Tamandua tetradactyla: one gene and its partner. Each later gene encodes a partner of the first gene's protein in a complex. Links are inferred from orthologs where the notes say so. Each region holds a gene or a part of one and is shown in the gene's direction. Other genes may lie near its edges. The genes, in order: PDPN and CLEC1B.

Region 1 (15,298 bases):
AAGAACACGTCAGCTGACATTCTGAAAATCGATTGCCTTTAAACTTTTATGTCCACATGCATCTCCTTAGAAAGTTGATGCTGTCTTTGGTATGCAGTAGGCAACTTCTGCTCTACTCCATCGACTTTTTTTTTTAGAACACTTTGTACAACCTCTACTTACTTGATTAATTTCTGAACCTATCACCTGCCTCCCCATCAGAACGTAAGAAACTCAGAAATAGGGACCTATATGTCTTGTTCCCTGTCCAAAGAGACAAAGACACTTCCAAGCACACAGCTGATGTTTAATAGATAGTGTTTAATGAAAGAATAGATATTCTGTATTGTAGCTCCCTGCTGCTAGTGCTGGTAATAAAAATATGATCAGGCTCCCTGGCTCTGCTGAAGTGAACAGCTGAGTTCCTCTAATATCTACGAGAAACTGGCCCTGTGGAAACCTTAAACATGCTGTTTCAAAACAAAGGGGAGGACTTACCCGCTCTGTGGCCAAATTTCCCCTGTTGAAAGCCAGCTGGGGCGAGCTGGGCAGGGGGGACTGCGGACATAAAAGTTGTGGGGTTTTTTCCAGCTTTATTAACTTTTCAGCCTTTTCCTGTTTTGCTGTCATGCCCAAACCCACCTCTTGGCAGATACTAACGTCTGAATATTTCAATGAGATTCCTGAACGGTGATGAAGACAGATTTGGGACCTCAACAAAAGGGTTTTCAAAATACTATTAAAATCCAGAGTTTTCCAAAAGGATTGAGGCAGTGGAGGCAGGAGGGGTGGGAGCTTGTACTGCGGCCGGCCGTGTGGCCTAATCTCTGGGGAGGGCATGACCCGCTCTGGGGAGGGAATTCCAGGCTGGCATCACACTAGGTTTGTTGTCATTACTCTCTGCACGCGGGCAGAAGCCTGCAGATTGAAGGATCAAGTCACTGTGGTCAATTTTCCAGCACCCAGACACACAGAGACCTTATCACCATCATCTCCACGGGTTTACACCCAGGGAAACTAAGGTAAGAGAGGTTGGTGTCAATGTTTTCTAGGCAATCAACCTTCAAGACAGCAGTAAGTAAACACCCGCCTCCCTCCTCTCCCAGCCCTGTCCCTACTTGACTTTCCAAGCCTCCCACACTGAGATGCATTCATTCAGATTGTTTTCCAAGCAGAGTGCTGAGTCTTTATAATGAAAGGCTCTCTGAACACAACAGTGAAAGGAGCTTTCTGTGTGTATTGGTGTGAATGGTTAAGAAAAAAAAAAAAGTCAATGTCTCCCAATGCTTGTCTGTCCATTATAAATTCAGTGAGGATTAAAAAAATTTAAACTGGCTCTATGCCCCCAACCCATTAAAGTAATCGGTGCTCCTTTTTTTTTCCCCCCAACCCCCAGTGATATCTAAATTCAAATCAACTGGTATATTCAGCAAACTTATTGAATTTTTGGAGGGAGTAGGGTAGCATTTAAAAATCAATTTGTTGTGATAAAAATTCCCATTGGCCTGAGTTCTTCTTTTGTTTATTTCATGTAGTGTGGAGCCAATGTCAGAACTGAAATATATAAGATGGGCTATTTCAGCTTCCTCTAAGGGTAGCAGTCATGCCCTCTCCAGGGCAGAGTTCTCAGTTCTAGAGCCCGTGGATTTCACCCTTCACACAGCTTCATGTCTAGGTGAGAGCCCCAATGACTTCCCAGGAAAACAGAGTACAGAAGTTTGTTAATCCACACCACTGAACGTTTTCCTTATTGCTCCAAGCAAAAGACAGATGCTTTTAATAAACTAGTGAAAAACTGAACATTACACCTTGGTCCTTGTCCTGAGATAGTCACAGGGGCCATGCCTTGACCACCGGAGATATGGCCCAGGATGAATTGACCTTCCTTTACCCAAGTGTGTGAAAGTGGAGCTGTAGGTCCACATCACATCTGTCGAGTAGAGGATGGAGAAAGGACAATCAGCTGCATTTCTTGGGCTGAGAGCACTGCTTGGAAATGTAATAGGCTTCAATAAGGAAGTGATTCAGTGAGTGAATCAATGCATTACAATAGCAACTGGAAAACAGCATGAATCCAAACCAAATTATGAAATGGGTAAAATGAATCTCCAACAACACAGGGCTTTCTATTTTGTGTGTTTTCTGCTCCTTGACGGCATCCAGGAAACTTTCATCCTCATCACCTTATCAAATCCTGCTCTTGGCATAGGGAGAGAAATCCATCCACATTGACTTCTGAAATACCAATTATGATAAATGTACAATTCTTCCCAGGTTTACTTGCATTCTAAAAGGGATCAGGTTTTCATGCTAAGGAATGAATCTCTATAGAATTTTAGCTATCAGCACGTTTACAAGGAAGAGGGGGAAGTATACGGAGATTTGGAGAGATTACAGCAGGGCTTTTCCAGCATTTCAGAAATCACCCTTTTTGTCTTTGCATATGGCCAAGCTAGCTGGCTTTATATCATCTGCCATTTGCTCAATCACTGTGTCTCAGGGTGGGCTGGGAGTCAGTCTTCTATGACAAGGACCTTTCTTGGACAAAATCACAAGCTTTCCTTTCACACATATTTATGGAGCATATGCCATTGGCTGGTGCTACAAAGGGGAATATATCTAAATCTACCAATAAGCCCTTGGCTTTGGAGAGCTCATGATCCCTCAAAGTGGGCAGAGAGATGAGAGCTTGGAACACACTGGGTTCAATCCTCTAATTACAGTGGGGTGGGTTGGGGTGAGGTGGACCTAATGCTAGGAGGAGATCCAGCCCCACAGGGGAACAGGGTAGTGATCTTCAAACTGGGGGTACACAGACTTTCTGAGGGTCATGGAAGGGTTCAAGAGAATCAATGTCAAAATCCTCATGTTTCTCCTAAAACTGGGGATGAACACAACACCTTCGCAATAGCCTTTCTCCCATGCACAAAATAAAGGCAGATCCTTATCCATCCCAAATCTTATTTTGGTGCATGTTCTGGGGTGAAAAAAAAAATTTTTTTTCAGCCCCAGGTTCCAATGTGAAAGGTTGGTGTCTGGGAAGCAGCTTTTGGTCCTCCCCCGTCTTCTGTTAAGGGAGGTGTTTGCTCCATGTTGGAGAGTTCCCAATTTTGAATCAGAACCCTTTAATCCAGGGATTAAAGTTAGCAATCTTCAATATTCAAAACTGACGTCAGGTGGCTCTTCAGGCCAACCCTCGTTCCACCATCCAGCCATAAACTCACAGCTGAATCTAATCAGGAGGAAACATCAGACACACCCCAAACCACTAGGCTGAACTCCTTAGGGCTGAAGGACCTACGATTGCCATTAACTCTCAAATTATTCAGAACAAATGCAATGTGCATGTAGATGTAAATATAGAAATAAGAATGAGGCAAAGGGGTAAAATGTAAATGAATGGATAGATCTAGGCAACTTTTCCATATATTTGAAATTATATCAAAAGACAAACTTACACAAAGAAATCTGGGCATATGGCATTTCTACTCCCCTGTTTTCCACATTATCTTTAATGAATGTGTATTTTTATAATGAAAAAATTAATAAAAGTGCCTCAGCTTTAAAAAAAAGAGTGTCCGTTAGTGATGCTGATTCTTTTAAACATAACTTGGAAAGTTTTCCAGGTCTTCTATCAAAAAATGTCAAATGTGTGATTCACATTCACAGATAAACATTTTTTATAATTTTTTCATAGTCAGTGCACTTATCCAGCAAGCTTCATCAAATCAGATCATGTACTATTTTTCCAGGTATAGTTCATCTTCACCTTATTCCTTATAAAGTTTAATATATCATAAAGAATAACATATTCTACCTATAAAGAACTATGTAACTATATGATAAAAAATAATTGGTACCTAGCTTTTCAAAAAATATTTAGGGGGTACATGAGTAAAACTGTGTGCAGCTGCTGGAATAGAACATGACACCCTTTAACTCAGACCACTGGTATGGGCAGGCTGCTCACTGAAGCAGCCAGCATGGTGGGGGGCCCTGGGAGAGCAATGGGGGCTCTGGAGATAGAGGCCCCCAGTGGCCACCTCTACCCAAGAGTGGGTCGTTGTCAGAAACACAAGCCAGCTCTCTATTCATGCAATCCTTGGCAGGTGGCAAGAATTAGTTTCTGAGCTGGAGCTCCTGTGCAGAATACTAGCTCTGGGTGTTGCTGTTCTGACTTCCCAGAGGGAGCCTTGGGCCCAGGGTTCCAGGGTGGGCTCTCAGGGATAAGCTCAAGGTAAGGATTGGACTAGCAGAAGGATGACTAGATGCTGAGTCTCTGCTTGTTGGTCCAGCTGGGTTGCTGAAGGTCAAAAGAAACCAGTTCTATTGGTACCATGTCAAGAGCCTCTGACCTAGGGCCTGGGGCTTGGTGAGTATTCAGGTGGGCATAGGTGGGCACAGGGGGACTAAAGGAGCCGAGAAACAGGAGGGGCCTGGTGGAAACAACCATCACAGCACTTACAGTAGCAGTGCTCCTTGCTGTGCACAGAGCCTTCCAAAATAGGAATTAGACCCCCATTTTAAAGAAGCAGAAATTGAAACTTCCAGATGTTGCCCCATGTCATCTGTGGAGCTGGATTTTTATTCCAAATACTGAGGCCCTTTCCAGCAAATCAAGCTGGCTGTGGGTTCCTTCAGGTCCAGGGCCACCCTCACCCCTACCCCCAACTCATTCCTGCTATGTACATTTGGAACTCAGCTCATGTCTCAAAATGTATGAGTCATTCCTGGGACATGGAGCCCCACTTGAAAGCAGAGATTTGCTCAGGTGGCAGCTCAATTCAAGAACAGTGTGTATTTAGAAGGAAGAGAAGATACTGAGAAGTCTTCCCAGGCAGTCTAGAAAAGCTCAGCTCACAGTTCTCCAGAATACACAGAGTCCTCAAAGAAAGTGGGGAACCCAAGTGTATTAGTTTGTTGAGCTGCTGGAATGCAATATACCAGAAGTGGAATGGTATTTTTATAAAGGGAATTTACTAAGTTGCAAGTTTACAGTTCTAAGCCCATAAAAAATGTCCAAATTAAGGCATCCAGGGAACAATACCTTAATTCAGGAAGGCCAATGGGGCTGGAACTCCTCGGTCAGCTGGGAAAGCACATGGCTGGCATCTGCTCGTCCCTTGCTCCTGGACTCCGTGGCTTTCAGCCTCTGTTTCCTGTGCAGTTTCCTCACTTGGCATCTGTGGGCCTCCACTTCCCTCCTGCAGACACAACTCTGGGTTCTTGCCCGCTCAGCATCTCATGGGAAAGCACACAGCGACATCCGCCGGGCTCTGCATCTCCAAACGTTCAGGTCTCCCGACAGCTCTATGAGCTCTGAAGCAACTGCCCTCCAGGTGTCTGCATCTGCTCTGCCTATCAGCTCTGCGCTCTCTCCAAAATGTTTCCCCTTTTAAAGGACTCCAGTAAGCCAATCAAGACCCACCTGGAATAGATGGGGTCACATTTTCATCTAGTCAAAAGGTCACATCCACAATTGGGCCGGCCAGATCGCCTCGGTGATAATCTAATCAAAATTCTCCACCTATAATATTGAATCAGGATTAAAAGAAAAGGCTGCTCCCACAAGATAAGATCAGGATTAAAACATGGCTTTCCAGGGTACATAACAGATTCAAACCAGCACACCAAGGTATCCCTAACTTTCCATCTCTAGCATCCCTTGGGATGGAGGGTCCTGCCTGCATACTCCGCACTCTCCTGACCTTTCCTGGCTCCTTCTCATTTCACACCCTGGTCTCCCTCCCTTTTGGGGCCTTTTGCTTCCTAAAAACAGCTGATAGACATCTCCTTGCTAATCCTTAAGGCACAGACTGGCAACAGGTTCAGGTCCTGCTCAGCAATAGACTAGAGGGACGCTAGCTCCACCAACCATTAGCTGTGTGAGCCCAGACCATTTGCATGGGCTCTAAACCAACGTTTCTGAGCATAGCAGCATCACCTGGCTACTTGCTAGAAAGGCAAATTGTCAGACTACACCCCGGACCTAAAGACCCAGAAAGTCTGGAAGGAGCTCCAGCCAGCTGTATCTGAACCTGCCACCCTGCAACTGTGTGTATGCAGGCTGTCGCCCACTTTTGAAAGCCAGTGCTCTAAGCCTATTTCCTCTTAAGCAGAATGGATCTTATCAATGTTTCTGACTCAAGGTCATTTTGAGGACTTAATGAGAGTTCCCTTTCCTGGCTTGCATAGTAAAGGTCAGTAAATGGCCTCGCACCAGTAGCATCCTCGTCACCATTCAAAGTCATCCCTTTAGGAGCACATGCTGCTTTGTTTCGTAATTCCCTCCAGCGGAGCTCAGGCTTCCAAATCTCAGGTGCATTCCTGCAGTTTCTTTAGCCTGACCCTGGCTCAGAGCATTCCCTCTCTCTCCTGCTGCTTTCTTTGTTGAGGAAAGACAGCCTTTCTGTCTGGTCTCCAGGTTCCCCTCATCACAGGTCCAGGCACTGTTCCCATCTATTTAAACCCCGAGAAGCTGCTCACAGACTTGCCCTGTTCTGGCCCTTCTTGGTTCTCCAAGGCTCCGGCATGGTCCAACGCCCTATTACACCACCCCTCCCCCCACCAGCAGGCCCGTAACTGACCTTCTAGATTCTGGACACTTCCCTCTGGGGAGGGGGGCAGTCTTCTTGAATAACTAGCCCCAAGCATCCCTCTAAATTAACTCCATTTAACCCCTCCCTTAGGCTCCATTCAGTCTCAAGTTTCCAATTAAAGGTGTTTTACCCTTGCATGCCCACGAAATTTGCCGTAGGTGAGGTGGGCTGGGCAGCTATTTTCTACCTAACAAGCTCTAAGGATAGCACATTTACTACACAGTTCCTCAAACGTTATTCATGTTGGAATATTAAAATGTATTAGCAAAATGGGGAAGTCAGTTCAGAAAAGGCTCTCTTCTCTGTCCCTAGTTTTCCAACTCAGCTCTCCAGCGCCTCTTCTACTTCTTCCTTCTGGCTCTCAGCTTTTACCTTGTAGCCCTAGCGGGAGCCCAGACTTCACCCCAGAGATTTTAAAAATGCAGAACACCACCCCCCCAATCCAGCCCCACAAAGCTGTGCCTGCATTTTCACAAGCCCCCCAGGTGATTTACCTGCAAGCTAAAGTTTGAGAAGCACTGTTGGAGGGCAAGATTTACTGCTATGCCTGTTAACTTCTCCTGGGGCACCTGTCCAAACTTCCCAGAGTCTTATTTAAAGAGCTTGAAGGGGGGAGCCCAGAACTCTGAGCTTTTTAAAGAACCATCCCAGGAAAGTCTTATCATAAAGTACCTCTGGCAACAGGATCTAGTGAAAGTATCTGAAAACAACCATTTTCACCCTAGAACAGAGCTTTGGAGCACGGACCTTTGGGTTCTTTTTGTTGAACGGAATTCGTGGCATCTGGGAGTGGAGGACTCTTCACTGCCTCTTCTTAAAAGTAAAAATTTAAAAATCCAAGCGGTTCAGAAGGAAATAAAGTTAAAACAAAGAAAAAACCGGTAAATTCTCTTCCTGTTCCTGACATCCTGCACCTGAGGTGGGGGCCAAGCTCGCTCAAACCGGCCAAGTGGGGAAGGAGCGGCCAAACTCCAGCACTAAAAGGGACGCGCCACGGAGCGAAGTGGGCACAGGTGTTCGCCCACGATTCTGCACAGCTCCCTGCACTCGCTCCCGGGCAGCCCCGCCGCGGCCCGCTCGGGGTCCCGTGACCAAGGGCGCGATTTACCACCAGCTGGAGCCCACCCCGATGCGATGAGTCGCTTAAAAAAGAAAAAGCCATTCAATTCGAATTTCACAAGACCAATTCCCTGCTTGGTGCTACAATCAATGGCCACACAAGGAATAATTTGTTTCTGGCTTCAGAAACCTAATGATGGAAAACCTAAGCGTGGGCTTTATTCCTAAAAAATAAAAATGTCAAGGACAAAAAGGCTTATGGCGTGCGCGAACCCCCCTACCCGGTCACGAAAGTAGGCACTCCTCTTTCCTCCGGTGGTTGGACGCAGTTAAAGCCAGTTTGGCGAGGGCTCAGGCCCCCCAACCCAAGTCCCGGCGGCCCCCGCAGCGCCGCCCTGTAACTTTAAACCTGGCCCGAGATCCTGGTTTTCGCGCTGGCCAAACAGAGCGGGAGGGCGGGCCCTGCGCGCCCGGGCCTGGGACCACCTTACGGCGGACCCCGCTCCCCGCCCTCGCTGGGAGAGATAAATGCTGACTCCGCTCCCGAAGTTCTCAATTGCAAAGTTAGCCCGCGCCGCGGCCGCCAGCGAAGGAAGACGGGGGACGCCGCCCGCGCTGGGGCTGTTGCTCCCCGCTTTCCAGGCGCCACTCCCCGGCCCCTCCAGCCCAGGGGCTGCCGAGCTTTTGCTCTCTCTCCCCCGCGCCCCTCCGCTTTCAAGCTAGCTGCTCGGCCCCAAAGAGAAAGACCCAACCGGAAAGATGTTGAAGGTGCTAGCGTTGCTCTTCGTTTTGGGCAGCGCCCCGCTCTGGGTCCTGGCACAAGGAGGTAAGCGCCCAGCGGCAGGGGCCGGGCTTCGGCGGCTCGGGAGACGAGCGCAGACTTGCTGGAATGCTCGGCCTGGTATTCGAGGTTGCCCAGGAGAGCGCCCGGGCGCGGGGACTGCTGGTGCATGCCGGGCTCGGCCCCCGCGGGGAGGAGAGGCAGCGGCTCAGCCGGTGCCAAGTCCCCAAGAGACAGCCGAGGAGGAGCCCCCGAATCCACAGGCAGCGAAGGGTGGGGAGCCAAGGGTCTTCCCTGCAGGGGCGGCTGTGTGTTGTGGGGAATGCCCACCGCTTCAGAAGAGGTGGGCCCAGTGGAGCCGGGTGGGAACGTGGGAAGGGCTGGGGGGCCCGGCGGGGGCGTTTGACTCCCTGGGGGCTGCACACATGGAGAACCCACTCAGGACCCCACCACTGGGGAGGTGCTGGAAGCAGCCTCTGCTACAGAGGATGGTGTGGATAGGGAAAGATCCAAAGTCTTGCTGTGGAAATTGAGGTTTGCGTTGGCTTGGGGCCACGCATTAGTGACTCCTGGACTTTAAAAGCATTTGATCTAAAGAAGCGGGGCAGAGGTGGCACTGCATGGTCTCCCTTACTTTTTCCTCCTACTCTTACATCCTCTTCTCATTCCTTTTCTCTTTCTGCCAGTATCCTAGTGACATGCAGGCACATGTCATTATTTCATATTTCCCCACCTTGGGTTTTTATTTTCATCTGTTTCCCCCAGTAGACTAAAAGCTCTTGAGGACACGGCTAGGCGTAGCCTTGATGCTTAGGGCTAAAATAGTGGCACGTAGTAGATGCTCATTAAGTCCCCAAGAAGGAATCGTTAACCGGGTATTGATCCTTGGGGTTGGAGGTTGTCTGAACTGGTCAGCTCCGGTAAGGAGTGAGGTAGGCCTGGTCTTGAGGAGCCCTTCCGGAATGGGGAGGGGTCTGAGGGAGGGATGAGCCTAAGCTAGATTTCCAGAATTCTATACAAAGATAAAAATACCCCGCCTTAGGGAAATGATGCAGCCTGCGCTACTCTATGCCAGACAATTAGCTTCAGAGAGGCCAGCGGCGCTATTCGTGGCAGGCCTAACTTTGGAACTTCTGTTTCCAGTGGAATATATACACTTCTGCATTTCAATTACATTTCCCTTTTGGCGAGACAGTGTGCAAATGACACCATTTTGTGCTCACCAGTGGAAGGTGTGGGAGGTCCCCAGACGGAGCCCGATCCCAGCTCTACTAAGGAAAGAGCAGCTGGGCAATGTCCTCTGTCCTCTCCGAGGGAAGGGTGAGCAGTAATTATCTTCCGGAGGCCAACTGTCCTCCTCAGATTTGGTGATGAACCTTTGTCTGACCAGACAACCAAGTCTGGTGCTAGGAACTCTCCACTGCTTTAGAAAGAAGCTCCACTCGGGCGGCGCTGAGGCTGGGCTGCGGGCAAAAAGCAGAGGCCCTGCAGGGGTTTTGTCTGCGGATAATGAGTGAGGCAACTTGAATACGGATGAATAACTTCATTGAGCTGAGCTGTTGTTGGCTGCTGTTGGGGAGCTGGGCTAGGGGTAATTATGGTGGTGGATTTTATTTAACCTTCTCCTAGAACCACCACAAGGCTGGGCTTCCCTCATCCAGTGTTCTGATCTGTTTCCCTTTTATGATCTGGTCCCATATGTCTGCCCCTCTGAATGTGGGTGGATTCAAAGGGGATCAGTAGCCACACAGCGGATTCAAGGGGGAATCAGGAAGCCTCAATGGCCAGGCCCCACACTCAGTCCAAACCACGCACAGCAAGGCCTCTCCGCTACACAGTTTATTTTGTGACGTTCTGCAAGTTACTGCTTTTCCGGGACGAATCCACCCAGGATTAATCATGTTGCCAACAAATTTCCCTGTGATTTCCCCGAAACTCCTGCCAGTTTGGGAGGTCCTGAAATTTTCGTGGGGCGGTGAGAGTCCTTGTTGCACTGAGGGCACCGATCAAGCATTTAATAAAGATCAGGTTTGTGAGAGGCTTTGTGACATCTGCCCATCCGTCATGCTGGGAAATGAGATCCCAAATGTCATTTAATGCCGAAAAGCACGTTTAAAAAAATTGCCCATGCATGAGCAGGCTAAGTCGAGACATGGCCAGCAAGACTGAGCCCTGCTGAGCAGAGGGACGTGGCCCCTTCTGCCCTTCCCTGGCCCCTGAGAAATAAGTGCAAATGAGTGATTTTATATACCTGAGAGTTAGGAAGGCCCCAAATGTTGGTATTTCAGTGGATGGTCCAGCCAAGCAGGAAGAGACCACCTCTCTCCCATACCCAGCCCCCACCACTCGCTAGGCATGTCATAGGTTACCTCATTCAAGCCTCCTAACTCTGCTAAATTATACATAATTATCTTCAGAATATCCCAGAGCTGGGATTCAAGAATAAGTCTAACTCCCAACCCCAAGCTCTTTTCACTCCATTGTTTTGCCTCAAAAAAAACATGAAGGTTAAACTTGAAATTTAAAGGTTCACCTCATTTTAATCTCCTTAAACGTGAAAGCAAACTTTTAAAAAGGTACACACGGTTTTAAAAGGTATAAAAATTCCTTTTCACCGCTCACCATGATATTCCTCCAAGAATGAAAATGACGTTAAAATAGGATTCATTAATTCAGCCCGCAGACAATTAGGCAGCCTCCCCTGGGTGCTGGGTGCACAGGACCTAGCATCAGGGAGTGTCCTCCCACGCTCCACCGGCAGAGCAGTGAGCCCGGCCTTTAAATTCCACTGGCTGAGCTAAATAGTCATCATATTTCTGGCTTCTCAGACCAGCCATGTCAGGTTCCAGCTTGTGGAGGGGGAGGCAGGAGGAGGGAGAGAGGACTCAGATTCAGCACTCACCCATCAGCATCCGCTCATTACATCTGCATAGGCGCCTGCAAGGCTCTCCTGGGAGCCTGGCTCTCCTGGGAGCCTTGCCCTCCTGCCACCATCCACACCTCTCGGAGGAAGCACCCGTGGGAGAGTTTTGTGTGAAGACACTCCAAGGATGAGCGGTGGGATGGGGGAGGGGGCCGAGCACTTCTAAAGTCCAGGAAACTGTTGCTGAGATTCCTCTTAGGAGTCCCGTAGGAGGGGGTGAGAGATAAAGCCTCTGTTAATGGGCATTCTGATTCCTTCCCCAACTGATTTCTTAACAATTTCTGGGAAAGGCAAGTGGTTGGCTGTTTTATCCGAGGGTCCCCGAGGGTGTGAGGTGACTGCTTCTCTCTCCGTGTTCAGTCCCAGGGCCAGCAGCCAGCCTGCAGACAGGTGGCCCACCCGGCATGGATTCCCGTGAGCTTCAGCGGGGAGGGGTCGAGGGCTCGCCCTCTTGTCCCACTGAGTGCCTTTGCCTAACTGCTCAGAGAAGCTGGATTCAGGCCTTTGAAGTGAATCAGACTGAGTTTGGGGGAATCCAGCAAACTTGACCACCTCACCCACGTCACTGGGGAACTGAAAGCTGGAATTGTCAGGGCACCACTTCCCGGCAGGGTGACACGCTCTTGAGCTCCAGAGGAGCAGGGCAGCGGAGCGTCACGTCACGGGGCAGTGGGGTGAGGACGTGGCTGCAGCACTCTCGGGCCACAATGGCTACACTTGAGTTTGTAGCACCGACTACCTAGGCCACTGAGGGGACACACTGGACAACTTGTAAACATACCGATGGGAACAGGAGCTTCCCGCAAACTCACCAAGTGTCTCCATTCGGGAGCAGGAACCATCACGTAAGAAAAGCAGTGATTTGGAGAACAGGATTCCCATCCTGCCTAGAATCTTGAAAGGAAGAAGAAAGTAACAAGGATTGATTATCATTAAACCTGCCCTGACCAAGGAATTCGTTTATTAAACAAATATTTATTGAGTAACTGCTGTGAGTCAACCAGTGGCGTGCAGCACGGACAGGCACATACCACTGCTTACAGCTAGCACGACAACCTTCGGTCTGGTGGCCGTGGGGGTTCTGATTCCAGTCGTGGTGCTTTACCCAGAATCGGGGATCTCGGTCTGAGCGGCCCCACCCTTCGCTTTTGTTCTCGGACACCGAACAGAATTCTCTATACTGAGAATCAGGCATTTCTCTCCAGAGAAGGGCAGAATTGACTATTGGAAACCATCTTTCCCATTTTAAATAAACTAATTGGCACTCTGGCCACTTGTGGGCTAACAGTTTCACCTGGGCGGGATCACCTTCTAAGAGGAGGAACTTTCTGAGTCTGTAAAGCGAAGGGAACTGGATTCTGAATGGTGCTAATAGTGGGTGGTGCTGATATCTGTACAACCACAGCTGGCGTTAAGGAGCACTTAGCAGGTGTCAAGTATGTTACAAGCCCCGTGCATTTAAGCCTCACAACAAGTGTAGGAGTGGAAATCTCTCCTTTTTAATTCCTATTTAATAGATGAGCAAAGAGGCTCAGACAGGCTTAGTGGCACACACCCAGACACATTGCTGGGGCATGCATGGCAGTCGTGAGACCTGCACGCAGGCAGCCCAGGGTTACAGCACACGCCCATTTCCGCTCGGCAGTGCGGCTGGCCATGCTCGAGTCAGGGCCGCAGACGACACCCAGGAAAGCCAGCCAGTTTTGTTTCTTCAAATGCCCCTTACAGCAGCGACGCCACTTGTTATTTGACAGCTAGATCATTCTAATTGATGAACTTGACTAGAGCTGGGGGCGCAGAACTAAATGGCAAGATCTATGCCCCCCCCCCCACCAAATGGTCACCGCCTGAGTTGCCGTTTAAGCATTTACAGGGCACTCATGCTATTAAGAGCTTTGAGAATAAGAGAGGAAGTATAAAGAGTGCTCACAGCTCTCAAATAGAGGCAAGACAGATATGTGTGGTGTCTTAAGGAAGAAGGGCACACCGTTATCTGCGGCCTTCAGAGACGTGGGAGATTGTTGTGGCCTTTGGTAGCCAGGGGCAGCCTGGGGGAAGGCCGGAGTTCATTTTGGCTGTGAGCAGTGGGTGGGGCTGCCGAGACCAGACGAGGAAGCGTGAGCCAGGCAGGAGAAGCTGCTTGAACAAATGCATGGAGACTAGAGCAATCTGGGATCTGTGTGGGAACAGGTGGGGGGCATCCAGGGCTGGTGAGAGCCATGAAGGCTGGAATCACGGGATGAGTTAGTGTCAGGAAGTCCGGGGGAAGGATGAGTCTATGTTGAGTGGGACAGCTGAGCCTTTTCCTGTAGGCAGCAGTGGAGGGTGGAGAATGTCAGTCAGGTGAGCATGACTACGTCAGGAGAAAATTAATAATGAGGAGGCTGTATAGGACCTGAGACGGGTCTGGGGCGGGGGGGATGGGAGAGTCGGGAGCGAAAGAGACTTAGAGAAGAGACAGCAACTGGGGTGGGGTGGGGGGTAGATATCGAATTCTTGGAAGAACTTGCAAGACTTCCAGCTCATTAGGCATCAGTATTTCCTGGTTTCTTATTCACCTCTTATAACTCCACACTGTATTTAGAATTTTTAAATTGAGATGAAATTCGTATACTCTGTATACTATAGAATCAATCTTTTTAAAAGCATGTAGCATACTTTTACTTCACTTTTGAGATGTGATTCATATACATATATACTACAGAACCAACCTTGGGAACAGTAAACAATTCAGTGGCTTTTAGGATATTCACAGTTGTAGAGCTATCACCACATTGATTTTGAGAACATTTTCATCACTCCAAAAGGAAACCCTGAACCATCTAGCAGTTACTACCTCTTCCCCACTTCCCTCTAATGCTACTCTCCATCTCTGGGTTTCCCTGTTCTGAACGTCTCATATAAATGGAATCATACAATGTGTGACCTTGTGTGTCTGGCTTCTTTTACTTAATGTTTCCAACTCTCATTCTTTTTGTACCATGCGTCAGAACTTCATTCCTTTTTATATCTGAGTAACATTCCATTATATGGAAATCCCATAGTTTATCCATTCATCAGTTGTTGGACATTTGGTTCGTTTCCATCTTTGGGCTCTTTATGAACACTGCTGCTGTGAATGTTTGTGTACAAGCTTCTGTGCGGATGTATTTTTCAGTTCTCTTTGGTATAGACCTAGCGGTGGGATTGCTGGGTCATATGGTAACCCTATTTACTGCCAAACTGTTTCTAAAGTGGCTGTGCCATCAGCAAAGTAGGAGAGTCCGATTTCTCCATGTCCTCACAAACGCTTGTTGTTGTCTTTCTTTTTGATCACAGCCATCTTGGTGGATTTGAAGTAATATCTTGTTATGGTTTTGATCTCCATTTCCCTGATGGCTAATAATGTAGAACATCTTTTCCTGTACTTTTGGCCATTTGTGTATCTTCTTTAGAGAAATATCTAAATCCTTTGGTCCATTTTTAAATTGGGTTGTCTTTTTATTGTTGAATTGAAAAAGTTCTTTATGTATTCTGGGTACCAGTCCCTTATCAGATAGGACTTTCAAATATTCTCTCCATTCTGTAGGTCATCTTTCACTTTCTTGACAGTATCTTTTTTTTTTTAAAGGAGTGTTTTTTTTTTGTTTGTTTGTTTTTATTTTATTTTACATGGGCATGCACCGTGAATCGAACCCGGGTCCTCGGGCATAGCAGGCAAGCACTCTTACCTGCTGAGCCACCGTGGCCTGCCCTCTTGACAGTATCTTTTAAAGTGCAAAAGTTTTGAAGGGTGATAAAGTCCAGTTTATCTACTTCTTTCTTGCTTTTGCTTTTGTTGCCCTAGGAAATCACTGCCTAATCCAAGTTCACATAAAGTCATACCTGTGTTTTTTTCCAAGAATTATATAGTTTCAGCTTTTACATTTAGGTCTTGATTCATTTTGAGTTAGCTTTTGTATGTGGCATGAAATAGGG
Region 2 (15,678 bases), on another chromosome or scaffold:
CCATACACTGAAATCCATCCCATCTATCCACTCAAAAATTTTGACTTTGCAATTTTCTGTTTCTCTGTCACTGACATCATCAATTCCACCCCCCTCCCCAGCTCTACTGGTCCACTCATATTAACCTACAAACATGATATAGTATCTGTGACTTAAAAACAAAAACTATCTTATATGCCTCCCACACACTATCACCAATTTCTCTAGTTCTATTAATAGTAGAAGTGCCAAAAAAAAGTTGTTTTTACCTACTATTTCTGCTTTTTATGAATCCATTCTAATAAGGCTTTTGCCCACAGTATTGCAACAAAAATTCCTCTGTTGAAGTCACCATTAGCCTTCACATTAACATATCCGGTGGCTATTTCTCAAGCTTGGTCCTATTCAACCCATAAGCAGCATTCGATGTAGCTGATTCATCCCTTCTTCTTAAAATATTTAATCTTCCAAAATACTTTGTTCCCCACAACACCATTCTCATTGATTTTCCTATTACTTTATTGTCCCACTCTCCATAAGTTTTGTTGATTCTTCTTTATCTTCTTGATTTCAAATGTTGGTGTACCCGAGTTCAGTCCTTGGCTCTCTTTCTTCTGTTTATACCCATCTCTGTATGAGCTCCTTTAGCTTCATGGCTTAAAATAACCAGCATGTAATGCACAGCTGCAAATTTATCTATTACGGGGCTTGATGTCCAGGCCCATACATTTGACTGCTGACTTGCCATATTTACTTAAATAAGTTACAGGAGTTTCAAACTTAACATATCCAAAAATAAACAACTCTTATCAACATGTTCCATTCTAGGATTCCCTATCTCAGTAAATGGCAACTCCAAATAGCAGAGTCAGAAAGTTGGAATCATCTTTGACTGGTCTTCCTGCTGTCACATGAATTAAATCCTTCTGCAAATCCCGTTCACTGTAGAAATGGAGGAATACAGGTATTAAAGATGGAAGTATTGATGATTTCAGAGACATTAAAATACTGCCAATATTAAACTACTGGAAGTCACATTCTGTGTTCCTCGATGATCATTCCATCCCCACATGGTAGGTCTACTTCAGAGAACATTTTTAAAGAGATCCTATATTGGATAGTACCCAGAGCATGCCAGAACAGGAGTTAATTCAGAGTTGTTTATTAAAAGCAATGCAAACAAGATTCCCCACAATACCAAAAACAAAAAGCAAAGATAAATTACAACCAGAAAGAAAAAAATGGCCACAAAGAGGAGCCAGAGGATGAGATATGGGATAGAATTTATTTTGAAATGTAGATTCACTTAATAAAGATAATAAATTGTCCTGATTAAAATCAAAGGCTGTGAATGAGATTGAACTCCAATGTAAGGGGATAGAAGGGAAGCTGTCTCTCTAGTGGGTCTATAAATAATATTACCACGTTGAAGATGAACAAAATTGAATGGGTTATATAGACTTATGTGTTCCACTGATTAACACTAGAAATATGAATTAGTTCTCACAAGAATCACTTCAAAGGTATGAAAAGTGTTTAAGCCCAGGGTACAGGGAGAAAGCTGCTATTGCACATTATGAGCTATGTTCAAAAAGAAACCATCAGCACTACCACAGCAATAGCAGAATTAAATAATGGGGGGAGGGACAAGAGTTAAGAGGAGTTTTAGATTTCTTATTTGGTGAGAGTATGTTTATTGGTTTTCTTTCTCTTGGGAACAATGAAATGATCTAAAATTGAGAATGTTGATGGACTGTGGACTTTGGGCACTATACATGATGCCCATGAATGCAGGTGGCTGAAGGATGCACTGACGAAGAAGTAGATTGGTACTTACTTATGAACGAAGCTACAAAAAGAAACAGAGTCATGAGGCATGCAACGATGTGAATGAACATGTGGGGCATTTGGTGAGACAAAATAAGCCAGAAACAAAAGAACAAGAATGGTATGGTCACCTTTAGAAAATGCTTATAAGAAAACAGGGGCCTAGACTGTAAGCTTTTAGAGCAGGCACTTTAAATCCAGAGTGGTGATTATTATTTCTGGATTTTGACAGGCTGTTATATATATATATAACCTGAACAGGTTAAAGTTAAAGTAATTCAAAACATAGGGGTAAGGAAGACAGTGCCTGTATTTTACAGCCTCACATACTCTTTGAGACCAATGGAAGAAATGTTTATTTGGTCTGGAACTGAAATTTTCTGTAGTACATAATCTAATTCAACCTATCTGTATGGCTCATTTGAACATTTGAAACACAGGGAGCACAGAATACGAAAGAGGTCCTTTAATCCTGTATAGATTATTGTAATGCCTAGATACATCCTAGAGTAAATTAACAAGATAATCAAAAAGTATTGGCAAAGTCTCCTGAGGGATGGGAGAAAGAATATGGAACTATTAAACCTTACCATCAGGGAATCCCCTGATACTGTGTCAAACTTTAGAGATGCCCAAATCAATAGGCCATGCCTTCAATCATGAGGCTTACTCTTGTGAAGCTTATGTAAGTAACAGAGAAGCTTAGACTACCTATACGCATGCCTAAGAGTTACTTCTGGATGACCTCTTTTGTTGCTCAGATGTGGCCTCACTTTCTCTAAGCCCAACTCTTCAAGTGAAATCATTGCCCTCCCCCTACGTGGACATGACATCCATGGGTGAAAGTCTCCCTGGTGACAAGGGAGATGACTTCCAGGGATGAATCCAGACCTGGCATCATAAGATCAATTATTCCATCCTGACCAAAAGGTGGAAAAGAATTGTAATTAATAAAGTATCAGTGACAGACTTCAAATAGAGTCAAGAGGCTACTCTGGAGGTTGCTTTTACACAAGCTTCAGTTAGATCTTGCTGCCAATCATAATCTGCCAACCCCAACAAGGACCATTACAGCCAATCCTAAAGAACACCGAGGACAATATATAAAATTCCACAAGGGTTCCATGCACTGGAATACCTTTCCAGAAACCTACAACCTTCAGATGGGTCCCTGGTCCAGTTAAGTCCTGAAACCTAGCCCAGCCTCTGCAGAACATCAGATAGTTCCATCTCCATACCTGTATTAGTGACAGGCCCTTCCAGTATGAAAAATTTAGAATTGCCATAGCCCAAACATCCTTAAAGAGAGAGATGGAAAGATCAAAGGTAATGGTGGAGTTCTACAGAGAAGATAGGGTTAAACAAATGAATATGAATGCTGAATCATTAAATTGATATCTCTTTTAATCTCCAGTATTTTAGAACAGCTAGAAGTAAAACCTAAAATTGTGGAATTGTAGCCCATGTCAAACTCTGAAATAAGTTCTACAACTAATTGTGGTGCTGTGCTTTGAAATTTATAGCTTTTTTGTATATTTGTCATTTTTCACAACTAAAGAAAGGAAAAAAAAGTCAATTGTGATGATAAAAAAATATTTAAGCCCTCTACCTTCTATGTTCTGGAACAGCTAGAAGGAAAAATATGAGACAATCATATGGCAGCCCATGAGAAACTCTGGGATCTGCCCTGTAACTATTGTTGAAGAGTACTTTGAAAATTATGGCTTTTTTATTGCTTTGCTTTGTGTATGTTATACTATATAATAAAAAAAGTTAAAAAGAGAGAGAGAGACAGGAGGATCAGAGTCAGTAGTAAGAGATATGATGACAGAAACAAGAGGTTGGAGTGATGCCAAGAAGAGACCACAAGCCAAGGAATGTAGACAGCCTGTAGAAGTGGATAAAGGTAAGGGGAAAGCATTTGCCCCTCAGGCCCTTCAGAAGGAACCAGCCCTGCCAATTCCTTTACTTTAGATTGATTTTGGATTTCTAGCCTCCAGAAAATAAGATAATAAATCCGTGTGTGTGTGTGTGTGTGTGTGTGTGTGCATGTGTGTTTGTGTTAGTCACTTTATTTGTGATAATTTGCTATAACAGCAATAGAAAATTAATAGAGCACCCAAGAGGTCTACTGTTGATGCTCACAGGGTCCTGGGGGCATCAGGCTGAGTGTTAGCAATGTGTTATTTTATTTGTCAAGTATGGTGAGTAAAGGGCAATTAAAAGCACTTCTACTGTAACTAATTAAGCTGGAGCTTTATTTTTGTTCATTATTTCCTGTGTCTTGCCAGACAGATGACAAGTTCTTTGAGGGCATTGGCATGTTCCATTGCTGGTTTTGTGTCTTGAAAGATAGCATTTTAAGATGCCAATTATTTTACAATTTTAAGATATTTTATAATTTAAAATAGTCTCTGAAATTATTGTGGTTTAACATTTAATTTAGTATATTTAAGTTTTGTTTTGTTTTGTTTTCCCTGTCAAGGAAATTGGATTCTCTACCATCTTAATCCTTTAATCTAAAGCCATGAAGTGGCAAAAACATAACAAAGGTTTAAGAGTCACAGTGTTTGCTTTGGGTTCTTACCAACTCTTTGTCAATGGACATGTTAGGGAAACTTTCTGACCTTCAGTTCTTTCGTATGTAAAATGAGTGTTACAATAATATCCACCCATAGGATTGTTGGGAGGTGAACAAAGTACAAAAAATGCTTCACCCATAGGTTCTCAAGTAGTGGTAGTGATTCTTATCACTGTATTACTGATAGAGACAATGTTCTAGAATGATGTGAAGGTGCACTGACAACCACAGTGCAGGTCCTCATCTTTTATATTTTAATTGTAAGGACTCTCCAAGATTACATCAAACATAGTTTGGCAAACTATGGCTTGATCTGTCTCCCTTTTTTTGTAAATAAAGTTTTATTGGAACATGAAAAAAGTGAAAGTCTGTGAAGACAGACTAATTGTTTTAAACCCAATATCAACACTTACTTGTCCTGTGGCTTTTGGCAAGTTACCTAACCTCACATTACTTTATTTTTCTCATTAGTAAAGCTGACATGTGTTTAAGTCTTCAAATCCATGGAAAAGGGGTTGAATTTCTATTTATGCAGGTCTTTATTTCTTTCCATTGCATTTTGTAATTTTCAGTGTGAAAGCCTTTCACTTCCTTGATGAGAAGACTAAATATTGTTAAGGTAGTAATATTACCCAAAGTAATTTACAGCTCAATGCAATCCTTTCAAAATTACAACATCCTGCTTTAAAGAAATGGAAAAAAACAGTCCTCAAATTCATATGGAATTATAAGGGGTCCTGAAGTGCAAAAAGGATTTGAATAAGAACAAAGTTAGAGGACTCAGACTTCCCAATTTCAAAAGTCACTATAAAAATAAGGTAATCAAAACAGTGTAGCACTGGCAAAAAGATGGATATTTAGACACTGAAATAGAATTCAGAGTCCAAAAATAAACCCACATAAATATAAACAATTGATATTTGATGAATGGTAAATCTATTCAAGATAATAATCTCTTCAACAGTGGTCTATAGGCACACGAATAAATGCTCAACATCATTAGTTATTAGGGAAATGTTGATCAAAAACCACAATTAGACATCACTTCATACCCACAAAGGATGGCTATTATGAAAATAAAAACAGGAAATAACAAGTGTTGATAAGGAAGTGAAGAAACTGGAACCCTTGTTCATTGTTGATAGAATGGTGCAGCCACCATGGAAAACAGTTTGGTCATTCTAGAGAAAGTTAAACATAGAATTGTCATATGACTCAACAATACCCCTTTGAGGTATGTATACAAAGAAACTGAAAATAAGGACTCAGATATTTTTATACCAATATTCATAGCTGCATTATTCACAACAGCAAAAGGTGGAAAGAACCAAAGTGTCCATCTACACATGGATGGATAAACAAGATGTGGTATATCCATACAATGAAATATTATTCTGCATGAAAAGGAATGAAGTTCTGATGTACACTTACAACACAGATGAACATTGAAAGCATTTTGCTGAATGAAATAAGCCAGATCCATAGGACAAATATTGTACGATTCCACACATATGAAATATCTAGAATAAGCAAACTAATAGACGTGTTTGTAAATTACAGATTAGGGGCTGGGGAGATCAGGAAATGGGAAGTTAGGTATCTGGGTAAAGAGTTTCTTTTAGGAGAGATTAAAAGTGCTGGTAATAGATGGTGGTGACAGTGGCACAACATTGCAATGTAATCAATGCCACTGAATTATACATTCAAAAATGGTTAAAATGTCTAATTTTATGTTATATTTAAAAACTGTTACTATTTTTAATTACTTATTTTAAAAAAGAGGCAAAGGAAAGAACACTGAACTGGGAAACTGGATAAATGGTACCTCTACTTACAAGTACTATGATCATAGAAAAGTCTCACAATTACCTTCATCTTCTCTTCCTATGTGTATAACATTAGAATAATAACCTCCATTGTATATTTATTTATTCATTCATTCAAAAAATATTTTATTAGATGGTAACTGTATGTCAGTCACTATTTTAGATCTGTGGATACATTCTTAGGTTCATAAGTGCAAGAATTTAATAAAATCTATGGAAAAAAGTAAAGCAAAGAAGAGGGGCAGAAATGCGGTCATTATGTGGTGGGGGTGGTAGGAGGAATTTTTCTAAATACTAAAAAACTAAAGCTTAGAAAGCTAAAAATGAATAATCTGTTCTCCATGAGTTTTTCCATGAATGCTCAGCAAAAATGAAAGGATCTGAAACATAATTAACATCCATTAAATTTCTGTTTTAAAACAAAGTAGATAATTTATGTAAAAGTCCCTCAATCTTTAAAATATTAAACAAATAAAGATTTTTATTGCAAGTCCAGACTCACCAGGAAATTTGGAGTAAAGGGCATCGTTCAGCTATTGTTTCTTGAGCCAAAAAAAAAAAAGGAAGGGATGAAATATACAAGGGAAAGAAAATATGTCAATAATAATTTGAGCTCTATAAGATGGTTATAAGACATCTAGAAGCTTCTGAATTTTAGGGAAAGAGAAGAGTTTCTACATCTCTCTCTTTCACTCTGTTCTCTGCTTCATTTTTCTGAGTAACTCCGCATATATTTATAGAATATGCGGAGGGAAAGAGCACATTATCAGGAGATGTTTTGACCCAGTCATTCTCACAACTAACAAAATATGTATCTAAAACACCACCACCATGTTTGGAGAGAATATAAATAAAGGTCAAATGCATGTTTTATGGAATGTAGATCTGGACATAAATTCCTCAGTCCATGGCTTGGGCTACATCTGTAGATACAATCAGGAGGAGGAGAAGACCAAAAGAAAGTCCAGATCCTGACAAATGAATATCATCTGAGTTTGACGTTACTCGTTTCAGCTTACCTAATTCTGGTGACAAATGTAGGGATTTAAGCACTAATGAATCAATAGGTAATCTTGGCATATTCCTAGGGAATAATAATAAGAAATGAGACTTTTTAAATAATTAAACCAATTGCCCAAGGCCTAGAGAATATAGAAAACTCATCAAAGTAAGCTAATTATCACATTTAATACCATGTTATAGTTTCTACTAATTAAATAAGAAAAATTTTAGAATAATAATGGAGATTTCCAAATATCCATGGTTCTTGCGTTTGCATATGAGATTCAATTTAAATAATTACATATTCGAAGTTAACTGTTTGATTACTAGGACAGAGTAAAGGTTTATTCAAAACGTGCCATTTGAATCATACACTCCACACCTATTTTCTCTTCTGTTGATCACTTAGTCACAATTATCTATCAGTATTCCTGTATATTTTAGAAAAAAACTATTAAAAAAGAGAGAGTTAGGGTGAAAGAGAAAGAAGGGAGGGAGGGTGGAATTATTTCTCCAGTTTTGGAGAAATAATTTCTCCAGAATTATTTCCAGTTTTGAGAAATACTCCTAAAACTGGAAGATTAGGTTTGTTCTGCACTTCAGCTGAGACAGATTACACGTTCAGAAGCATTGGTAGATGCGCAGTGGAGTAATAAATAGTCTGAGTTTACTCTAGTTTATGATCGGGAACCACTGAATATTTTAACTGAGATAAACTCTGTGGCATACTAGTTTTCGAAATTTAAGAAATTTGATTGTATGATTTTTCTCCTTTTATTAAACTGGGCATTTATTTGATGCCAAGTGGGAATTTTGATTAAGGATTAATTTTTGTGAAAATACTTGAATCACACAGAAATTTGGGATTTCAAATTCAGGCAATGCCTTTCATTGTCTATTTTGACTTGTTTTATTTATTCCCCTCATTCTCAAAATAATTTGAGGTGTATAGGGGAGGAAATTTAAAAATAAAGTTATTTAAATTATTCTAAAATTACTTTTAAATTATAAAAAGAATTCAGAGTGAAGGAGATAATGGGGAAAAGGAAGGAGTATGCTCCCTAAATAGCATGTTAAAGAATAAATGTCTGCTAGTTGTTCAGCTTTTCTGACTATGGAAGTTCCATAAAACATCCACTATAAAATGATTAGCTACCCTAATGGCAAAATAGACAATATCCTCAGCAAACATCCCCACAATGAGCACAGCAGCTAACTTTGCATGGCTGTTTATTATAACTAACTTCAATATAAACTGAACTAAAAATTTAAATCCCCATGTCATAAAGTTGAACATGTGGATACGTATATTGTGATGTATATTACATTAATTTAAGAAAAATGCAAGAATTTGGTAAATTCTAGATCTTAAATGAGAATGATTCCCTATGCCACAAGCCAATGACACAATAATTTGGTCAATATTAGGTCAAATTATAGCAGACCGAGTCCTCAGGATAGGAGGTACTCTATTTGCTAGTGTTTAAGTTCATGAATTTTCGTTAGCCATCAGTTCGTTTAAAATAACCTGATTTAGACTACACTAGGGTTTAGATGAACAGTGACTTCAAAAAAAAACAAACAAACTTTTGTTCTTTGAAAGGATATGCATGATGGAATATCCCTTCATTTGGAGCTGAAGATAAGGAAACAGGAAACAAATGCCCTATCTACTCCTTAACCACAAGTTATTATTATTACATTTTTATTTTTCACTATCCTTGTGTCCATGGATCTCTAAGTAGCTACGGAAGAACTTCCTGGGAAAAAAAAAAAAAAAGCACAACCACATGTATTCCAAATCATAGAGCTCTACCCTTCTAGTAGAGGAGGGTCACAGATGAACAGACATTGAAATTCTGAGAGTAGACACTACATTTTGCAAAGTCATTGTGCCCTGAACTCACTCACCCTTCAAGTGAAGCCATGCAGGATGAAGACGGATACATCACCTTAAACATTAAATCTCGGAAACCAACTCTTAACTCAGGACTTACAGGTAAGAATGCCCATATCCAGCAATTTGGAAATTAATTAGTGAAATAGGTCAACCCTATTTTCCCTTTATCCTCTAGTGATAGCATACTATTTGCTTGTTTTTCCTGAATGGCATTCTTTCTCTAGAGCATTTGTGTGGTATCTACATAGGCATTTCAAATAAAACAAAAGGCAGGCAGTGAACACTACATTAAGACTTGTAAAGGGGGAGGCCATGGTGGCTCAGCAGGTAAGAATGCCTGCCTGCCATGCCCGAGGACCTAGGTTCATTTCCTGGTGCCTGCCCATGTAAAAAAAAAAAAAAAAGACTTGTAAAGTTTAACTGGGAGGTCAGGGAGGGGATGTCTGGAAACCACTATTTTTAAAAATGTCAGCAAATGGATGTGATTCTCTATTTACAGCTTATTAAAGCAATTATTTAAAGAAGTGAACCCAAAAGAAAGACAAACCTGCAAAACTTTAACTGCTGGTAATATTTTGGCTCAGAGAAGAGTGGTCCATTGGAGATGGGGATGGATGTAAGGTGAGGGAGAAGATTATGCTTAGTATTGATGGTCACCAAGGGAACACAGGAAAGATCTGCTCATGAAGCTATTTTTATTATTGGAAAATTCTGAGAGGTCAGTGGCAGGGATGATGGTGTCCCATAGCTGTGCCATATTGCCTGCTCGCTGACATATTTATCATCTGCCAACAGTTGACCCTGCTTCCTCACCTTTGTGGCGTATGATGGCTTTGACTCTGCTGATCTTGTGCGTGGGAATGGTTGTTGGGCTGGTGGTTCTGGGGATTATGTGTAAGTATTAACTCATTGATCTGAGATAGGCAATTCTTAAGGGTCTTGTTGTTTCACATTGAGCTCTTAAGTGTCCTATGTGTCACTACTTTGGCCATCCTATACATATCTATCAAGAAATTCTCAATAAAAGAGAGCCCTGACTATCTCTTCTCCTGATCAAAATCACTTTTTAACTAATTAATTTATTCATTATTAAAACTTATTTTCAAGAATTTTAACCTGGCTTTCAAAAACTCTCCTTAGTATGAATTCAAACTATCTTTTAAAACACATTTTTTCTCCCTACCTAAGATCTAGCCAAGTCAGTCTTCTCAATTTCAAAAATAAAACCTACAACCCCCACCTGAAGTTTTGCTCGTTTTATCCCATCTTCCAAAAATGTTCTCCATCTTGTTTTGTTCACTGAATTTATTTACTTACCCTAAGAGATCATTTATAGTGCACCTAATTCATAAATATTATTTTTTCTTCCTATAATCTTAATAGCGCTCCAATGTCACATTATAATCTGTATAGCTGTTGCTTATGTGCATTCTTGTTTATTTTTTTCATAAAATATTCAAGAATATTTAATTCACCATTTTTATTTATTTGAATCTCTTTGTATTTTGAGCATAACAAGAAAGAAGTATGCATTTTTTTAAATGAATAAATATTCTGATCTTACATGAAGAGTAGAAAATATCAGAGGCCATTGACCTTTTATTAACTCTGCTTAGGAGATGTCAAAATAACCTTCTTGGGCATGTTATTTGACCAAGAGATTTTCTTATCAGTGATTGTCTCCTTCAAATATAATTCACTGTTTCATTGGATAACCCCTAGTTTTGCATATTTATTAATTTGTGCCTTATGTCCCACTTTTCCTTACCCCTTTTCAGAACTCATTTACTCATCTGTTTCTAGTAAACTCCCATAGACTAGTAGTTATACTGAAATGAAAGCCAGTGCGAAGGTCTTTGCATCACCGTTATGGTCCTGATTGTAAATTGTCTACATTTTACATCTAGCTGTCACGCAGCAAAATTACCTACGAGCCCAAAATGAAAATCTCTCAGAAACTTTGCAACAATTAGCAAAGCACTTCTGTCAAGATTTAAGAAAAGAAGCAGATCAGGACAGTTTCAGTAAGTATTATTTGATAGCCTCTGGATCTCCCTTGCCTCCAGAGTATTTCTGCACTGACATCTGAATGGAATCTTGAGATCTTGGGAAACATTGAATGTGGGGAAAATATAAGGTAGATTTACAATGAAAGGGTTCCTGTGCTTGGTTTCTCCTTAAGACCAACAAAGCAGCCCCTGTGACAAAAACTGGAGATATTATGGAGATCGTTGCTATGGATTCTTCAAGCACAACCTGACGTGGGAAGAGAGTAAGCAATACTGTATTGTCAGGAATGCTAGTCTTCTGAAGATTGCCAGCCAGAACATTCTGGTAAGGAGCTTCCTATGGCAAATGTTTTGGAGTCATAAGGAAACAATCTTAAGTGTAACTTTTGACTTTTTTACATTTCTCTAAATGTAACTTTTGACTTTTTTACATTTCTCTTATGTCTTACAGTTTGCACTGGCCTAAGAACCTTATCAAGCTCAGTAAAAAGTGCAACATTCGAGAGTAGAGAGTGCTGAACTAGGACTCAAGAGACCTTGAGTTTTGGTGTTATCTTGCCACAAGTCATTTCACCTCTGTTAGCTACCTCAATTCTATTAACTTATTTACAAAAGAATTGGGAAGTGCGAAAAAAACACCCGATATGATTGTAAACTATAAATAACAGTGTTATCCCAATATTAAATTCCTTCTCAGTTCCTGCTAAATTGCTGACAACTTCAGCAAAACTTTTCTTTTCATAAGCATTCCTAAACATATATTTTGGGAGTAATCTCATATGCAAAGCATACAGGATTTCAGTTGAAAACTTTCTATTAAACCTATCTCCTCTTCTACATTTCTCTTTTTGACAATTTTGTAATGTTTTTCTCTTTTCTCTGATGAAGCAAAATGTATTCTGATCCATCTAAGCTCTCCCTTTGTTATGAAATGTAGCTTCTCTCTTCATTAAACCTGGAACAAGCCAGAAACTAAGCCCTGTTGTTTCCCTTCTATCTAATAAATTTATCAAAGCATTTTTTTAAATAAAGGTAGGAATTTTCTTTATCCTACAGTTTCTAAGAAAGTAATTTTTCACAGTTTTCTACATTAAAAAAAGAACACAAATGTAATTGGAATAGATGGGATTTGATCTATATGCAAAGATTAAACAGAACTCATAAGTGTAGACCATTCGGATTCTATGATTTTTGGTACTCTATCATTCTAAATTATTGTATCATCAACCTACTCTTTCTGTGTGCTCAGACTCATAAAGAAGATAGCTAAATAAATCAATTCTTTCAGATTAGATGAAATGGGAGAATGCCCTAAAATCTCAACTCCAGCACAAAAAGATGCAATGGAGACATATAAGCATTTCTTGAGTCTTATTATTGCAGTCTGATTCCTGTTTGGAAATGTATAATGAAAATGGAGAGTGAAATAATTTTTTAGAAATAAGGAATAATTGAATTTCAGGTAGGTAGCATTTTCCTGTCTGGTCTAATAGCGAAGTATAGAATGCATTTTTTTTTTTTTCCTGCATGGGCAGGCACCCAGAACCCAGGTCTCTGGCATGACAGGCTAGAATTCTGCCACTGAGCCACCATCGCACTGCCCTAAACTTCAAATGTATTTTAAAATGATTCTCATACCATACTTCTTGTGGAGTGTCAGTCTGTGTTTCACAAAACGTCAAGAAATCTGTGTTATATTTTTAGTTGCCAAGAATGTATTCTCATCGAGTTATTAGCTGGAAAGGTATGAGAAAATATGAACATTTGCATTCCTTTTGGTTTTGTTTCACATAGATTAATCAATTCACCCACCATTAATTCAAAAACTTGTGCTAAAACTCTTCCAGAACCTGCAGCTATTCAGTAAACAGAACAGGCAAAAATCCTTAACATCATGGAGTTTATATTTTAGTTGGAGCAACAGACAGTAAACAAAACAAATAGCTATAGAATATAGTATAATAGTGATAATTGCTGAGGAGACAAAAGTAAATTACGAAATGTAGATATATGAAGTTATTTATAAATTCCTTTGAGAAAGGCTTAATATAATTCTATTTTTGCCCATCAAACGAAACAAATTAATAATTTTTTATTCAATATTTTATAGGCTAGCTAAGTAATAAAACCAAATGCATGTAGAGCTGAATTTTGGGCAATGTAAAGTATTTACAACAATGTATTTCTTTTCATTTTCTTTCTCAGGCTATTTTCCTGTTTATCTCATTTAAAAGTCATATTTTAATTACTCCTAAGACCAGGCCATAATTTCAGTAAAACCTTCAGACATAGTCTGAAGCAATTCAAAATGAATTCTGTCTCTTTCACAAAAATAACTACTAAACTTTTGCTGAGTTTAATTTTCAAATATATTTAAAAATCAAGGTATGTTCCATTTTTCCATTTTTCCCCAGCCAATGAGTGATCAAAGATTTCTTTTTCTTTGCATCATAATTTCTATGAAAGTAACCTTCAGGAAAAATAAATTCCCTATATTAAATTGAAAAAAAATCATATTTGGTATTCTGTTTGGTAGTCAATTGGTAGAAGTTTAAATCTTCAATTGATAGAAGATATACTTGTATATTATAAACACACAGGATCATTAAAGTGCCAGATATTTTATTATAATTTTTCCTGTGTCCAACAAATATGCTTTTCTTTTTCATTCTAAAGTCAACTTGGTACAATTCTAAATGTAAAGGATAATCCATCAATATTAAAATAGACACATAATCCAACAGTTTTATTTTTTGTCAAAGGTCTTACATGAAGCTTTGTCTTTCTGTCATTACCAAAGGCTGCGGAAACATTCTTACCATTGTATTTATTTGTGTTTACAATAGAATTATATTAAAAGCAGGACTACTATAATTCGCTGGATTGGATTATCCCGCCAGAACTCTAATGGGATCTGGATGTGGGAAGATGGCTCAGTTCTCTCCAAGGACATGTATGTAACTGAATATTAAGAATACAAAGCACTATTAGTTTCTTTTATTCCTGTAATCCTGTTCCCACCTGAGAGCTAGTTACTTACAAGTTGGGAGAGGCCTATATCCTACAGTGGGTTATGTAAGCAGCAGCTGAGTCACTCCCTACTCCTAACAGAAGAGCACTGATAATAAGGCAATTCTACTTTTCCCTGTCATCCATTCTTTTCATTACCTAAGGCACAATCCACCTTTACCCCCATGTTTTTCCCCATTCATTTTTCCCTGAAATTTACCATTGGAACAGTTTGCTTTTTTTGACCCTTGCTCTGATTCTCTCCACTATTTTTTAATTAAAATTATCATCTTCATTATCTTATGGTTGAAAGTTATTCTCTTGAGGATCCCTTTAACTTTTCAGTATCATTTTGCCTAGTCTTCTATCCTGAGGTCTCCAAGAATCAGGTATGTTGTGGTCCACAAGGAGGGTTTAATGTTCACTTCATGAGGCTCAATCCTGCCTCAGAGGACCCCACCAACCAAGCCAATTGCATTGAGTTGCTTGATATCACTTTCCAATCCCCAGTCTCAACACTTTCTGTTCATCCTGTATCTCAAACTGTAATGCCTCCCCAGTTCAAATTTAAACTGGTTTCCAAAACCCATACAATCTGACAATTACTAAGCTAGGATAGTATGATTACAAGCAGGCCTCTTCACAGATTTGGGACTTTATCTCATATTATTTACTGCTGCATTCACAGTATTCTAGAAAAACTGGTCTTCCCACTGTACTTTCAACAAATCAAGCTTGTTTTCTTGTCTTGGGACGTTTTTAGTTGAGAATTCTTCTATCTAGAATGCCCTGATTCCAGAACTCCATGACTGGCTTCCCCTTGTGACTCAGGTTTCTGTTTAAACATCACTTTCTCATTGAGACTAACTTTACTCATCAAAATAAGTTGACCTCACTCCTACCTGTAGCTTCATCCAAAGTCTCTCATGTCACTGCTTTGCTTCTTCATAACTTTTACAAATCTCTGAAGTCATCTTGACCATTTCCTTGTTGGCTTCTATCAAGTTTCCCAATGGAAAGGACATAGTCTTTAGCACAAAGTAGTTGTTTCACAGATATTATCATGTAAATGAATAAATAAATGTCCATTGTCTTATTACCATAAGCTGTCTAGTTGGAAACATAGACAATTAATGGGAAATTACAATACAATAAATATACTGCCTCATATACACAATTCTAAAACTAAATCTTCAGTTCAAAAAATTCAATCAACTCTCTTTTCCTTGGTCTTATTCCCACTTTATGCAGTTGTTTGCCCAGCAAGGTTCTTCTGTCCCCTTTCTTCATATCGAAATCCTACCCTCCCTTCAAGACAAAATTTATGTATGATCTTCCAAATAAAGTCCTTCTCCATCATTTCAGACCCCCGTCCATCTCTTCCTCTGGGCTCCTACTGTTCATTTGCTATATAATCTTACGCTATATTGAATCGCTATTGAGCTTTTCAAATGTACAGACCTTGTACTCCAAAGCAGATTAGAAGTTTCTCAAGGTCCTGAACTTTGTTTTATACTTTTCCTCCCTTGGGGGAAACAAAATACT

What was found.
Region 2: the proteins of PDPN (region 1) and CLEC1B are in contact, whole or in part, in a crystal structure (PDB 3WSR), measured with the Homo sapiens proteins. The link is inferred for Tamandua tetradactyla from reciprocal best matches to the Homo sapiens genes PDPN and CLEC1B. Residues at the interface, in NP_006465.4 of Homo sapiens: Ala46, Glu47, Asp48, Asp49, Val50; in NP_001380271.1 of Homo sapiens: Arg107, Phe116, Arg118, Arg152, Thr153, His154, Leu155, Arg157.

The regions. Positions count from the first base shown.
Region 1 is NC_135328.1:212,274,900-212,290,197, reverse strand, and holds the start of PDPN (podoplanin), read left to right. Parts: upstream 1-8,131; 5' UTR 8,132-8,396; coding exon 8,397-8,463; intron 8,464-15,298. UniProt on the Homo sapiens protein: Mediates effects on cell migration and adhesion through its different partners.
Region 2 is NC_135333.1:72,462,086-72,477,763, forward strand, and holds the start of CLEC1B (C-type lectin domain family 1 member B), read left to right. Parts: upstream 1-8,898; 5' UTR 8,899-9,141; coding exon 9,142-9,214; intron 9,215-9,618; exon of another isoform or gene 9,619-9,736; intron 9,737-9,910; coding exon 9,911-10,009; intron 10,010-11,022; coding exon 11,023-11,139; intron 11,140-11,297; coding exon 11,298-11,449; intron 11,450-13,970; coding exon 13,971-14,077; intron 14,078-15,678. UniProt on the Homo sapiens protein: C-type lectin-like receptor that functions as a platelet receptor for the lymphatic endothelial marker, PDPN.